Linked DNA regions of Bombyx mori. The protein of the gene in region 2 purifies or fractionates together with the protein of the main gene of each other region. This does not show direct contact. Links are inferred from orthologs where the notes say so. Each region holds a gene or a part of one and is shown on either strand. Other genes may lie near its edges.

Region 1 (4,358 bases), on a different chromosome or scaffold from region 2:
AAATAAGAGCTGATGAAATATACATCAGTACTTTTACAATCAACACATATATAAACATGCAGACATTATTTGTATATATAAATAAATATGATTGTTGATTAATTATATTCTTTAAATAATAATAGCAATAATTAACTAATGCATTAGAAGTTTATATCGGTAATGTTAATGTTTTTTTTAGAATGAAATTTAAGTATTAAGTAGTTCCACATTTATCTACATTGCAATTTTTGGTTTCTTATTGGCAAAGATGAAACCATTACCTTCAGTACTAGCATTATTGCAATCTATTGGGATGCCACTGTCAAATTTGTAAGATCATTCAAAGTAAAAAAAAAGTCAGTTGTCAAGAAACTGTTCCCAGATATGAAACATTGATCTTCTTGGTACATATATGGCACCTTTAGAGTTGCAAGGCTTAATACAAAAGTCTTATTTTTTTATATAAGAAAGATACCACAGAGTTGTAATTTTTCAGTTTTTATTTTAATACTTTAAGCCGTAAAGTGCATACCTTAAAGTTTTTTTATCATTGCTCTCGTGGGTGGACGAGCTCACAGCCCACCTGGTGTTAAGTGGTTACTGGAGCCCATAGACATCTACGACGTAAATGCGCCACCCACCTTGAAATATAAGTTCTAAGGTCTCAACTATAGTTACAACGGCTGCCCCACCCTTCAAACCGAAACACATTACTGCTTCACGGCAGAAATGGGCAGGATAGTGGTTTAAGGTATGCATTGGATTTAAAAGAGTTGGAAAGTATTCTTTGAACTTATTTAACTTTAATTTTTAATTAACAAAATGTGATTTTATGCATTCAGGATACATGTTTATAAGTACACAGATCAAAGTATAAAACTCATTTTCTTAACATTTTTAGTTAAGCTACTTCAATTCTAAAGGTATACTGATCTATTATTGGTACTGTTCATAGTCCCTTGTTCCATATCTCTTAATAATAACAAAAATTACCTTTACAAAATCAGCAGCTTTCTGTAAATTTGCAATATCTTTTGTTTCTGGTCCGACTTTTATCTCAACATTCCTCGTTTTCGTGTTAAACCTTACTTGTAGCAATAAGTGTTCAACAATCGGAGTAAATATCTTCAGCCAGCTTTCCTTAAGTGGTGTATATCTTAAAACAAAATTCATACTATTATTATATGTCTTTCATGGGTGAATGAGCTCATGTCCTACCTCGTGTGACACACCCACCTACCCCCCTTGAGACTTGAGGTATTAGTCTCAATTGGATAATAGTTGTGCAAATAGAAAAATTTCATTGCAGTTTCGTGCAGCTTTCTTCAGTACAGTAGACTGGGGGAAATAGGGACTAGAGGTAGAATAGGGACAAATCTGGGATGTCACAGTACTTTTTTTGAGTTGTTAGATTTAACTTGGTTAAACTGAAAATTACTTTTATTTAGTGTTTAAGAATATTACATAGTTTAAGTTAGTCATCAAAATTTTGTAACTCATTAAAGATATAAAAAGTGAATTACCTAAAGTTAGGCATCTACCTAACAACTAAATAGTGCCAGCCCTATTGAAAAAGTCTATCATACATAACCTGATTCACCCCAAAGCCAAGGTGAATAAGATCAAGCTAGTTTTTTCAGTTTTTGTGTATATTTTGTAATGAACTATGTATAATAATAATAGATTGTATATAAAAATTTAAGCCTCCAGAACCATTTTAATCTCAATTTTATTAGTATTACCCTAAGAAAAACCATTGAAAATTTCAATCTACGATCATTGAATATATTCAGTATTACTTATTACATTATTACTCAATGTTATTCTCTCTCTGTAGAAGTCACTGAAGAAGATGAGTACATATTTTATTAGACTTAGAACCTACTCTTTTTTTTCCTCAAGTTAATGAACTCCGGTAGGCTCAAGAAGTTATTTTGGTTTCATCCTAACTAGTAGGAGCTTAAAGGTCTCAGCCTAAGAGAAGTTACTAGCACCTACTCTAGGAAGAGCAGCAGTGCTTTACTGAATCTACCACTGGACCTGAATCGTGACCCACTGAGAATATCGAGTGAAAAACTCAGAAGTTATCTCCCTGGGTTAGGTGGCATGTCTCGTCATTTTCAATGAACTCAACAAGAACATGACAGATTGAACTCTGACACATGATTAAATCAAAGTGGTTCAATCATTAAATGGTACAATTATTATTCTTTTTGGCCTTATGACAATTGTTCGTGTGTTCATTTACGAAGTTTTGTAGGTTAATTTACCTGTGAGCTGGGACCGCAACTTTTCGCATTGCAACTTTACTCTCATTAGGGTCTGAACTTTTTTTATGTTTTTTTCGGTTCCTTCTAGGCTTCTTTGGATTGCTTTCCCCAATTGTGGGCTCTTCAACCTCCATACCATCTCCGGTGTCATCTGTAGCTTTGCGCTTTATATTTTTAAGCTTCATCGTCTTTTTAGCTGGCAAAAAATCATCAACACTTATGTTCTCCGTTTCCATTTTGTGAGAAGGTTCGTCGCTTAGGTGAAATTTAATGGTAATTAAATATCAGTTGAGATTATATTTTATTACAAAATAAAACAATCACATGTTTCACGTGTTGGAAAACAAAAAGAATGTGCTGTTGACTTTGACACCGTTGACGTTAACATAGTAGTAGTAGTTTTATTTTTCCAACTGGAAAGGCAAAGGCATTATACCATACTGCCTAATCTTTTATATATACATATATTATTAAATATATAAAAAATGATACGAAATGAAATGAAGTTAATTAATGTGAACCGTGGCATGATATGGGATGAAATATAATCTCAGTAAAATGGTGGTCATTTACTGACACTTTTTCAGTGGACTTTTTGGAGGATCCCGAAAAGTTACGTCTAGCGGCTTTGTTTTATTTTTCCACATTTGTACACTTTCACAGATAAATAATAATAATAAGCCCATTTTATTTCCAAAAACAAAGAAAGATAAAACACCTTATCAAATAAAAAATTGTGTTAGTGGAACCCCATTTGGGTATAAGCCTCCTCCAGCTTACTGCACTCTTCCTATTCTTGGCTTTATTTCTCCATTCTTTTCCAGTTGCTGCTATTATTTCGTCGATCCATCTGCCCCTTGGTCGGCCTCTTCTTCTTTTGCCCACTGGTCCTTCCCATGTTGTGGTTTCTAATGTCCATCTTTTATGCGTATATCTCGCAAGGTGTCCTGCCCAACGCCTATACTCTCCATATTTGGTAATTTCAGTTTGACTCTAAGAGCTATAATCTATGTTTAAGTGCATAATCCGAGCGAAAAGCGTTCAAAAATATATTATAGCAAAAAAGGGTTTTTGAACTATTACTAAATGTGTAATAAGTTTCGATCGGCATAAATAAATATATATTTTTTTTAAATCCTTAGGTACTTAAAAATAATTTTAACGTTTATTAAAAGTTGGGAGAATTCAACGCTGCTATTGCAAAAAAACTTTATCTAACTCATAGATTATACACTTATTATGAACATTATGACCTAACTGTTTCAGAACGTATTAAAATGGTTATGTCACAAATCTTCTAGCTGCGATTTGTTGTTATGTATTGATTTGAGGTGAGAAAAAGTGATTTATTTAAGATAAACACTTCAATTTATGATTCAAATACCTAATCATTCGAAATTATTTAATATTTCACAGTTTCACAATTCATAAGGTACATTAGCCACAATGGCTACTCTCGTCAGAACAGCTGTAATTAAAGTTATCAGCCCAACTCAGGGTACAAAAATAGCAGCATGTACGTTTGTACAAAATAGGAATATCTCCGGGCGGGCCATGCGGGAAGCGCTACCACCTCCTCCACCGAAACCTGCACCCTTTGACTATGTGAACAAGGACTACACTTGGTTGCGCAGCTTAATCGACCGCACGACCCACAGGTTTGATGATAACAGCAAAGTGATAATCGTGGAAGGGCCGGTAGCTGCTGGTAAGACCGCCTTTGCAGCCTCCCTAGCCGATGACTTGGGTATGAAGCATTTCCCCGAAGCTAACATGGATTTGCACTATATTCGTCCGAACGGCGTCGACTTGAGGTCCTTCGACGACCAAGTACCCGAGGACACTAGGACCTTTGACCATGTTAATTTCAATCAGAATCCTAACCATCGCTTGGCTGCAAACTTCCAAATAATGATGTATGTGGCCCGGTACAGTCAGTATATTGATGCTTTGGCACACCTGTTCAATACTGGCCAAGGAATTGTGTTGGAGAGGTCCCCTTACTCTGACTTTGTATTCTTGGAAGCTATGTATTCTCAGAAATTCTTGAGTAAGGCAGTCAGGTCAACTTACTATGAGCTGCGAGAAAACACAATTGAGGAGCTA
Region 2 (4,151 bases):
TATTTGCAATATCCATTCATGGAATGCACGGTCATAAATAGTTGAATACTTGTCCAAATATGCACAACTGAAATAAGAAGTTGCACAAGCATTTCTGGCTTATCCAAAGAGTAACATTAGTTTCCACAGGATTGGCAACAACAGGAGTGATATCAAATTACAGCTTTATCAATCAATTAACATAATGATCCTACTACCTATCACAAAAGGCAGCAAACCTAAACAATTGCGGATAAGTCAGGAAATTTCTTCAAAATGAACAACAATCAAATGCAATATGAATCACATAATAGGACCATTAAAAATAACAGAAAAAATTACTCAACAAATACCAAGCATACCTTCCTATCAATGGTTGTTTGGCTTGGGCCTAACTATGTGATTGAGATGAGAAGACAAGAGAATAAAAATAAAAGTTATTTGTTTAAAATTTTGATTGTGACTCACTCCTTTACAGTGTGTTGTACAAAACACATCACTTTTATATTAATTTTAATCCCAAACTTGGCATCTTACCTCACATAACGGTAGTAAAATTCCCTTCATAAAAGCACCAGGTTTGAACAAGGCCTTCCTCAATGCTTGGTACAAGTGGAAATTCAACCTTTTGTATTCAGCAAGGTCATCTCTGACACGTGGTAGTAAAACTAAATTATAAAACCTCTGAGCCATCTTCTCCTTAAGATTTGATGCAAAAATTCTAGTTGCCTGCAAACCAATAATCATAATGAATAATGTGATAACATTAAATAAAGCCTTCAATTCTGATTAAAGCTATGATTTTCCGAATATCATTCATTAACGCCAGACATTTAAGTATTATTCAACTACTAAATTTATTGTTATTAGTATTTTCTTATTGTTAACCTGATACATAGCAGCTGCTGACCAAGTAGTAGGCTCTGTTAAGTATAAAATTTGCTCCCAATTCTGCAAATGTGGCACCATTTTGAAAGCTTTCGGTAATTTGCCTGATCTATATTTCTGGAGTACATCCCTTACGCCCTCATACATGGTTTTTATTCTGAAATTCAAAATTTATATACAAAGATTGTAATACTTCATTTTGATCAAAAATTTTATCAATCTCACTTACCTTGGATCAATATTCTGCAATTTTAAAGTTTCTGCATCTGAGAACTGAGTCTGTAGTTCTGTGTGTTTGTCAGTAATTTTTTCTTTTATAATATCAGCTAGAGTTCTAACTCTTTCTGTTTTAGATGATTTGAACAATTTGAGTGCTTCTTCATCTGCTTCGTTGATTTCAATGTTATCATAGTATGTGTCAGGTTCCAAGTCATCCTTCTCTGAATCTGAACTATCTGATCCTTTATCTAACAAATAATATCTTTAGTTATTTTTCAACAAGTGGAATTACTAACTATCAAATCTAAATTGCAGTTGAAAATAATTTCAGTTCATTCACAAGGTACATTTGAGAAATTAATTGCATTATAACAAAAATGACTGTTCACTATTTGTTTACTTCTACTGTACATGTACACTGTCATAGAATGTTTTACACACGTCCTTACGGATCCATCAGATCCAATAACCTTAGCATTAGATGCCTTCAGCTCTAACACTAGGAACAGGCTAAGCGACCCTGGTAACTGTACTCGTCAAATTCAACAAAGAAGTCGACGTCCAACCTAAGCCATGCATCAGCCTGCTGAGTTTCTCGCCGGATCTTCTCAGCGGGTCGCGATTCCAATCCGGTTGTAGATTCATTCGCGAAGCAGTTGCTCTTGAGTTGTTAGGTCTCCTTTGGAGGGGCTTGGGCAGCTGTTAGCAAATCCCACCCCTCCTGGTTGAGCCTTTGCTCACCCACCTGTCCTGGTGAAACTGGAAAGGCCTCCAGGCCACCAGTAATTCTATCAACATAAAAAAAAAGAATGTTTTACCTTTAAAGCTTGACACAAGAGTGACATGTTTTGCTGGAGACGGACCAATCTCATTGTCTTCTAGTTCAGCTTGTTGCCTTCTAGCAGTTTTTAAAATTTTTTTAGACAAATCTGCTTTTACAAACTGAAAAAATATATAAAATCGATTATTGTGGACATTATCTGCCATCTGCACGTTGCCCGCAGAGGTGTAGACAACTTGGAACGTCTGATGGTCACTGGGAAAGTAGAAGGAAAACGTCCTAGAGGCCGGAGCCCCAAACGTTGGTCCAACCAGATCTCCGAGCAAACCAGCGGACCACTTAGCGCTGCACTACACCAGGCAACTGACCGGAACCGATGGAGGCTAACAGTAGACAAGCTAAAACGGAGTCACGATCCTCAGCAATGAGGGAGCGATGGAGAAGAAGAAGAAGAAGAATCTGCCATCTGCCTATTTTTGATTCCTAATGCCTACATTACCACCCGGCCTATTTCTGCCGTGAAGCAGTAATGCGTTTTGATTGAAGGGCAGGGCAGCCTTTGTACTGTTAAAAGTGAGACCTTAAAGCTCATGTCTCAAGGTGAGTGGCGGCATTTACGTTGTGTCTATGGGCTCCGGTAACCACTTAACACCAGGCGGGCAGTGACATGTCCAACAATCTAAGCAATAACAAAATAAATAAATAAAACATTATACTTAAATAGATTACAGAAATAATTTAAAGTAGTATGCATAATTTACCTCATCGTCTTCATCGTGCCTATTTCTATCTTTGGTCCTATTTTTAATTTTGACTGAATTTCCAGATTCAATTTGATCAGCAAGAGCTAAATTTTTTCCCACTTGTGAGGGCTTCAACTTTTTAACTTTACCCATATTAGTTTCAACTAAATGGTCAGTAAGGAAACTTTTAACAAACACCACAGTTTTCTTAATACTACATACAAAAACCGTTCCTGCGGAACATAAATTGTAAACGTTATCAAAGATTTACCATGTGCTGTTGTTTTTTTAGTTAGAAAATGTCATAAATTTTTGCAGCTGTAATGACATTGTCAATGTCTTCGAGTTAAGGGAACATAGCCTATACAACCTACATAGCCTAGACAGCCTAATCTTTTGTTTGTCACTAATTTTACTGAGGATTATATAAAATCCACGGCTTTATATTGAAAGTTTTACATTACTGAAAATTTTGAAAAACTATGATTTAAATTTAAAGCATAAAAGACAAAAAACTAACCATAAAGTTAGAAAATAATGGCGGGCGTCCAAAATACCTACAGAGATACTATGATCATCTATAAATTACTATACCTAAAAAAACCTAATAATACACGCTGTAGCCAAATAAAAAATTCATACATACGTTTTTTGAAGTTATACTTCTTTAGGCGCGCGCACCGTGACACAAAATTAACAGAATGAAGTTGCTCACTAAATCGCTCACTACAATACGACTGACGTAGCTATTAATAAAATAAAATAATAATCATAAAAATAAAGTATAACTTCTTACGCGCGTACATAAGTACACGCACCCCTTTTTTTTAATACGCTTTTATTAGCTTCAGACGTTACATACGTCTGAAGCTAATAAAAGATAGTTTGTAACGGAATCTTTGAACATGATTTTGACCCCCTTCAAAACGTCGGATTAACTTGAAATTTGATATACCGAAAAATGGGGTTATTGGGGTTTGAGAGGTGAATGGGGAAAAGCAGGAAAATCTTTCGACGCTCAATATTAGTTTTTTAATCGTTGCAAAATCTTCCATTTTTTGTAGTGTAATAAAAGTTCACAAAACAACTCTGAATATGCATGATAATAGCTGCTATCTTATTCTTCTTGTTGTGGTAATTATTTTAGTGCTAGACTTTACTCTCTTTTATTTATTTGATAATAATAAAAGACAACTGTGATTTATAAACGTTATTTAGTGTTTGAACCATCATATTGTATTAAAAGTAAGTCTCAACTGTTATTGGTTTTAATGTTTTTTGATAATATAAAAAAACATGTAAAAATCTGTTGTTTTTGGGGACGTCTGAGGTACAAATAACAACGAGATGGGCAATTGGGATGAGAATAAGTTAAATGGGAACGACCTAAGTATAAATAGGTACAGGCGTGTAGGGTTGTCTATGTAGTTATAACAATATTTTTTAAATGTTGGTAAGAATCTGGTTTATTCATGATGTTTTTGTCTAGAACTTTTATTCAAAATTATCAATGCAGTGTTATTTTATTGTTTGGCAAATCA
Region 3 (3,210 bases), on a different chromosome or scaffold from region 2:
TAAAACTTTAAGGAAACCTTTAGAAAATACGATTCGACTCGAAACTATGTAATGGCATCAATTATTTGAAGGAATCTTGTCGTACCTTTTTTTTTTTTCGATATTAGATAGGTACGACCCCTTGTCTTCTCGTACGTGTCATGAAAGAAACTTAGGGTTACATCGGGGAAGGAAGGGACGCCTTCTCATGAGCGTGCCGCGATCATCAATACGCAATATGTGGGTAGGCACCACTATCCTGCCCATGTCTACCGCGAAACAAAAATGGGCTATCATTTCAAGGGCGGCGACACGTCAATGGCCTCCGGGGATTATTGGATAGGCCTTGAGTTCATTGACCCGCTTTTTTTTTTTGGTCAGGAGGAAATCGCCGGACTTCCGCCCTCCCCTGGGGATGGAGGGCGGGGCATGTCGGAGTCGAACTGACTAAAACCTCCTGTCGCTCAACAACCAAAGTCCAAACCTCGTATGAGATAGAACTCATGAAAAGGCAAAGGGGGGAAGTGAAGCGTTTAGTGCGGAGCACATCTCTCCCATCACCCTCCCCCTTCATTGACCCCCTAATGCATTAAAAAAAACACTATTGATTATAATGATTTATTAATAAAACTACACAACAATATCTATTCGTCCCAGCCCCACAAGCCGTGGCTCTCCCTGATGGTCTCGGAGTTGTCCCTCCGGCTCCTGGTGACGGCGCTGGCCTCTCCCTTCGCTACGGCCTTCTTCCTCTCCATCTTCTTTTGTCGCTGTTCCAGATTCTTCTTCACCTGCAGTTTGACGACAGCCGGGGCTATCGTGCTGGCGGACGTGTCGGATCTCATCGACCTCACATCGGACAACGCCTTCTCAATCATCGCCAGTCGATACTTCTGCGAGTTCTTATTCAATTCTCCTACTTTATCAGTGTCTTCTGTGCACGTGACTTCTTCAGCCTCCTCCTCCGCTTTAACGAGAGTCGGTACTTCTTCTGCTTCGGATTTGTTCTCTTCCGTAATATGGAGTGTGACGGTCTTTGTAGTAAGGTTGTCGATGACGTCGTTGCGTTTGTCGTTCTGTATTGAAATGTCCACCTGCAAATGTATTTATTATTATTGATTCACACTACCTTAAAACGCCACTACGATCATAAGATACCGACGCTTGAAAGGCAAACGTGACTAAGCGACAATAACTGCTTTGTACATAAATGATAGGCAATAGGCATATTTGATGCGCAAAAAATATATATTTCTAGATCTATTAAAATAATTTCAATTCTACAGCTAGATTCGTTAAGATAGACTTTTTTTCAGGTATTTCAACTTTAAATTAGTCTACTGTAAAGTTCACGCATTGTCGCTTAGTCACGTTTGCCTTTTAAGCGTCGATACATAAACTTTGCATTCTAATATTTCCTTTAACAAATGCTTTATCAATTCCTAAGAATATTTTACTTCATAAATTTATTTATGTAAGCGACATCTATTGCAAGAGTTTCAGAGGTACAAGTGCGCCAAACTCTGTTAGCAACAACTATAGTACCTCAGGTATTTACGAGATGGCGTTATAATATATTTTTTTTTGTAACGTCCCTTTTTTTTAGAAAGATTTCGCCAATGCTTTAAACAATACCAAACCTTTGGACCCGTTTCAAAGATTCACAAGAATATGTGTGTCGCATAGTTCATTTAAAAAAAAAAAGTATTCTCATCTGTAACGCGTATTTATCACAGAACACAAAATATTTGACTGATGCGAGAATCACTATAACGACAATTTTTATAACTTTGCATACGTACAAGTTCCGAACAACTTTGGCATCGACTCTACCGAGCAAGTACACCCGGTAGTCAAGTTTTTTTTTAATTGCTTAGATGTGTGGACTAGCTCACAGTCCACCCGGTGTTAAGTGGTTACTGGAGCCCATAGACATCTACAACGTAAATGCGCCACACACCTTGAGATATAAGTTCTAAGGTCTCAGTATAGTTACAACGGCTGCGCCACCTTTCAAACGGAAACGCATTACTGCTTCACGGCAGAAATAGGCAGGGCGGTGGTACCTACCCGCGCGGACTCACACGAGGTCCTACCACCAGTAAGTTCATCCCTTTGTCGTATTACCCCGAAACATCGTTCGTTTAGGAATAATATCTGCATAGATTATTGTGTAGCACGGCACGGCGGTCGCGCACGCACCTGCTGCCTGAGGGCCGCTAGTTCCTCGTCAGTATAGGCGGGGCTCCTCTCGTCTACCGCGTCTGCAAACTCCTCGTCCGACTCATCGTCGTCGCTCTCTTCCAGACCAATACCCATTTCCTGAAATATATTGAATGTTTCATTTTTAATTATCCAAAATATGTTTTTACTTACAAATTTTTGATTTTTAAAAATATGCATTTTTATTTAAAATTTCATCTTCATTTATATAATTCGTCTGTCCGTGTAAATGTCAGTGAATTCCACCTAAGCGGCTTGTCAGATTTCATGAATTTTTATGTGTGTATTCCAATGAATTCGAGATAAGTTTAGATTCACAATTCAGGCCAGTAAAATGTTTTCTCACTATGTTTCTCATAATAATATGTTGGCTCACTATAACGTTTTTTATGCTAACCAAATTTGTTCTAAAATAAAGCATTATTTTTGAACTATTCCACGCGGACGATGTCAAAAGCTAGTGTAAAGATATAATTCGTGGAAGGCGCGAGTCACCCGCATGAGCCGGTCGTCCAGGTCCTCGGCGCGGCGGTACCCCGAGCAGGCCACGGCGGCGTCCAGGCGCTCGGCGCGGCGCAGGTCCCGCAGCGCCGGGTACAGCGAGCTCTCGAACCCGAACCGGCGCTTGAAGAACTCGCGCACGCACCGGACGTCGCGCTCGAAGTACCTGCACCCACAGACACGACACGTCATCACACACACACATACACTAAATCAAAGGCATCACACACAAACTAATGATTCCATGGGGGCAGTAGCGGATTAAAGGTCCAGAGCGCCCCCAGGCAATCACTTTATCGGCGCCCCTGTACCGGCCATAAATGGCCATCATAATATTGCACATAAACCGCAACCCGCAACATTGCATAATACGAGTATATCGATGTTTGTGCAATATAATCTATTATAGATTTAGATTATAGATCAGCATTTAGTTCTTAATCGTCGATGTTATTATCTTTATTTATTTAAAAATTCTGAGCTCGAGCCCCCCTTGTAAATACACGC

Evidence for each region.
Region 1: the proteins of bystin (region 2) and RNA-binding protein pno1 fractionate together in Homo sapiens (co-fractionation; 4 studies listed by BioGRID and IntAct, with this or other methods). This does not show direct contact. The link is inferred for Bombyx mori from reciprocal best matches to the Homo sapiens genes BYSL and PNO1.
Region 3: the proteins of bystin (region 2) and serine/threonine-protein kinase RIO2 purify together in Homo sapiens (affinity purification with mass spectrometry; 3 studies listed by BioGRID and IntAct, with this or other methods). This does not show direct contact. The link is inferred for Bombyx mori from reciprocal best matches to the Homo sapiens genes BYSL and RIOK2.

What each region holds. Positions count from the first base shown.
Region 1 is NC_085126.1:8,647,719-8,652,076, reverse strand, and holds the start of RNA-binding protein pno1, read right to left. Parts: upstream 2,922-4,358; 5' UTR 2,489-2,921; coding exon 2,253-2,488; intron 1,139-2,252; coding exon 976-1,138; intron 1-975. Other genes in the region: NADH dehydrogenase [ubiquinone] 1 alpha subcomplex subunit 10, mitochondrial, read left to right, coding at 3,699-4,358. UniProt on the Homo sapiens protein: Part of the small subunit (SSU) processome, first precursor of the small eukaryotic ribosomal subunit.
Region 2 is NC_085121.1:8,924,550-8,928,700, reverse strand, and holds the start of bystin, read right to left. Parts: upstream 2,940-4,151; 5' UTR 2,764-2,939; coding exon 2,629-2,763; intron 2,029-2,628; coding exon 1,905-2,028; intron 1,335-1,904; coding exon 1,097-1,334; intron 1,025-1,096; coding exon 868-1,024; intron 709-867; coding exon 517-708; intron 1-516. UniProt on the Homo sapiens protein: Required for processing of 20S pre-rRNA precursor and biogenesis of 40S ribosomal subunits. May be required for trophinin-dependent regulation of cell adhesion during implantation of human embryos.
Region 3 is NC_085127.1:1,634,634-1,637,843, reverse strand, and holds the end of serine/threonine-protein kinase RIO2, read right to left. Parts: intron 2,870-3,210; coding exon 2,698-2,869; intron 2,302-2,697; coding exon 2,182-2,301; intron 1,074-2,181; coding exon 624-1,073; 3' UTR 584-623; downstream 1-583. UniProt on the Homo sapiens protein: Serine/threonine-protein kinase involved in the final steps of cytoplasmic maturation of the 40S ribosomal subunit. Involved in export of the 40S pre-ribosome particles (pre-40S) from the nucleus to the cytoplasm.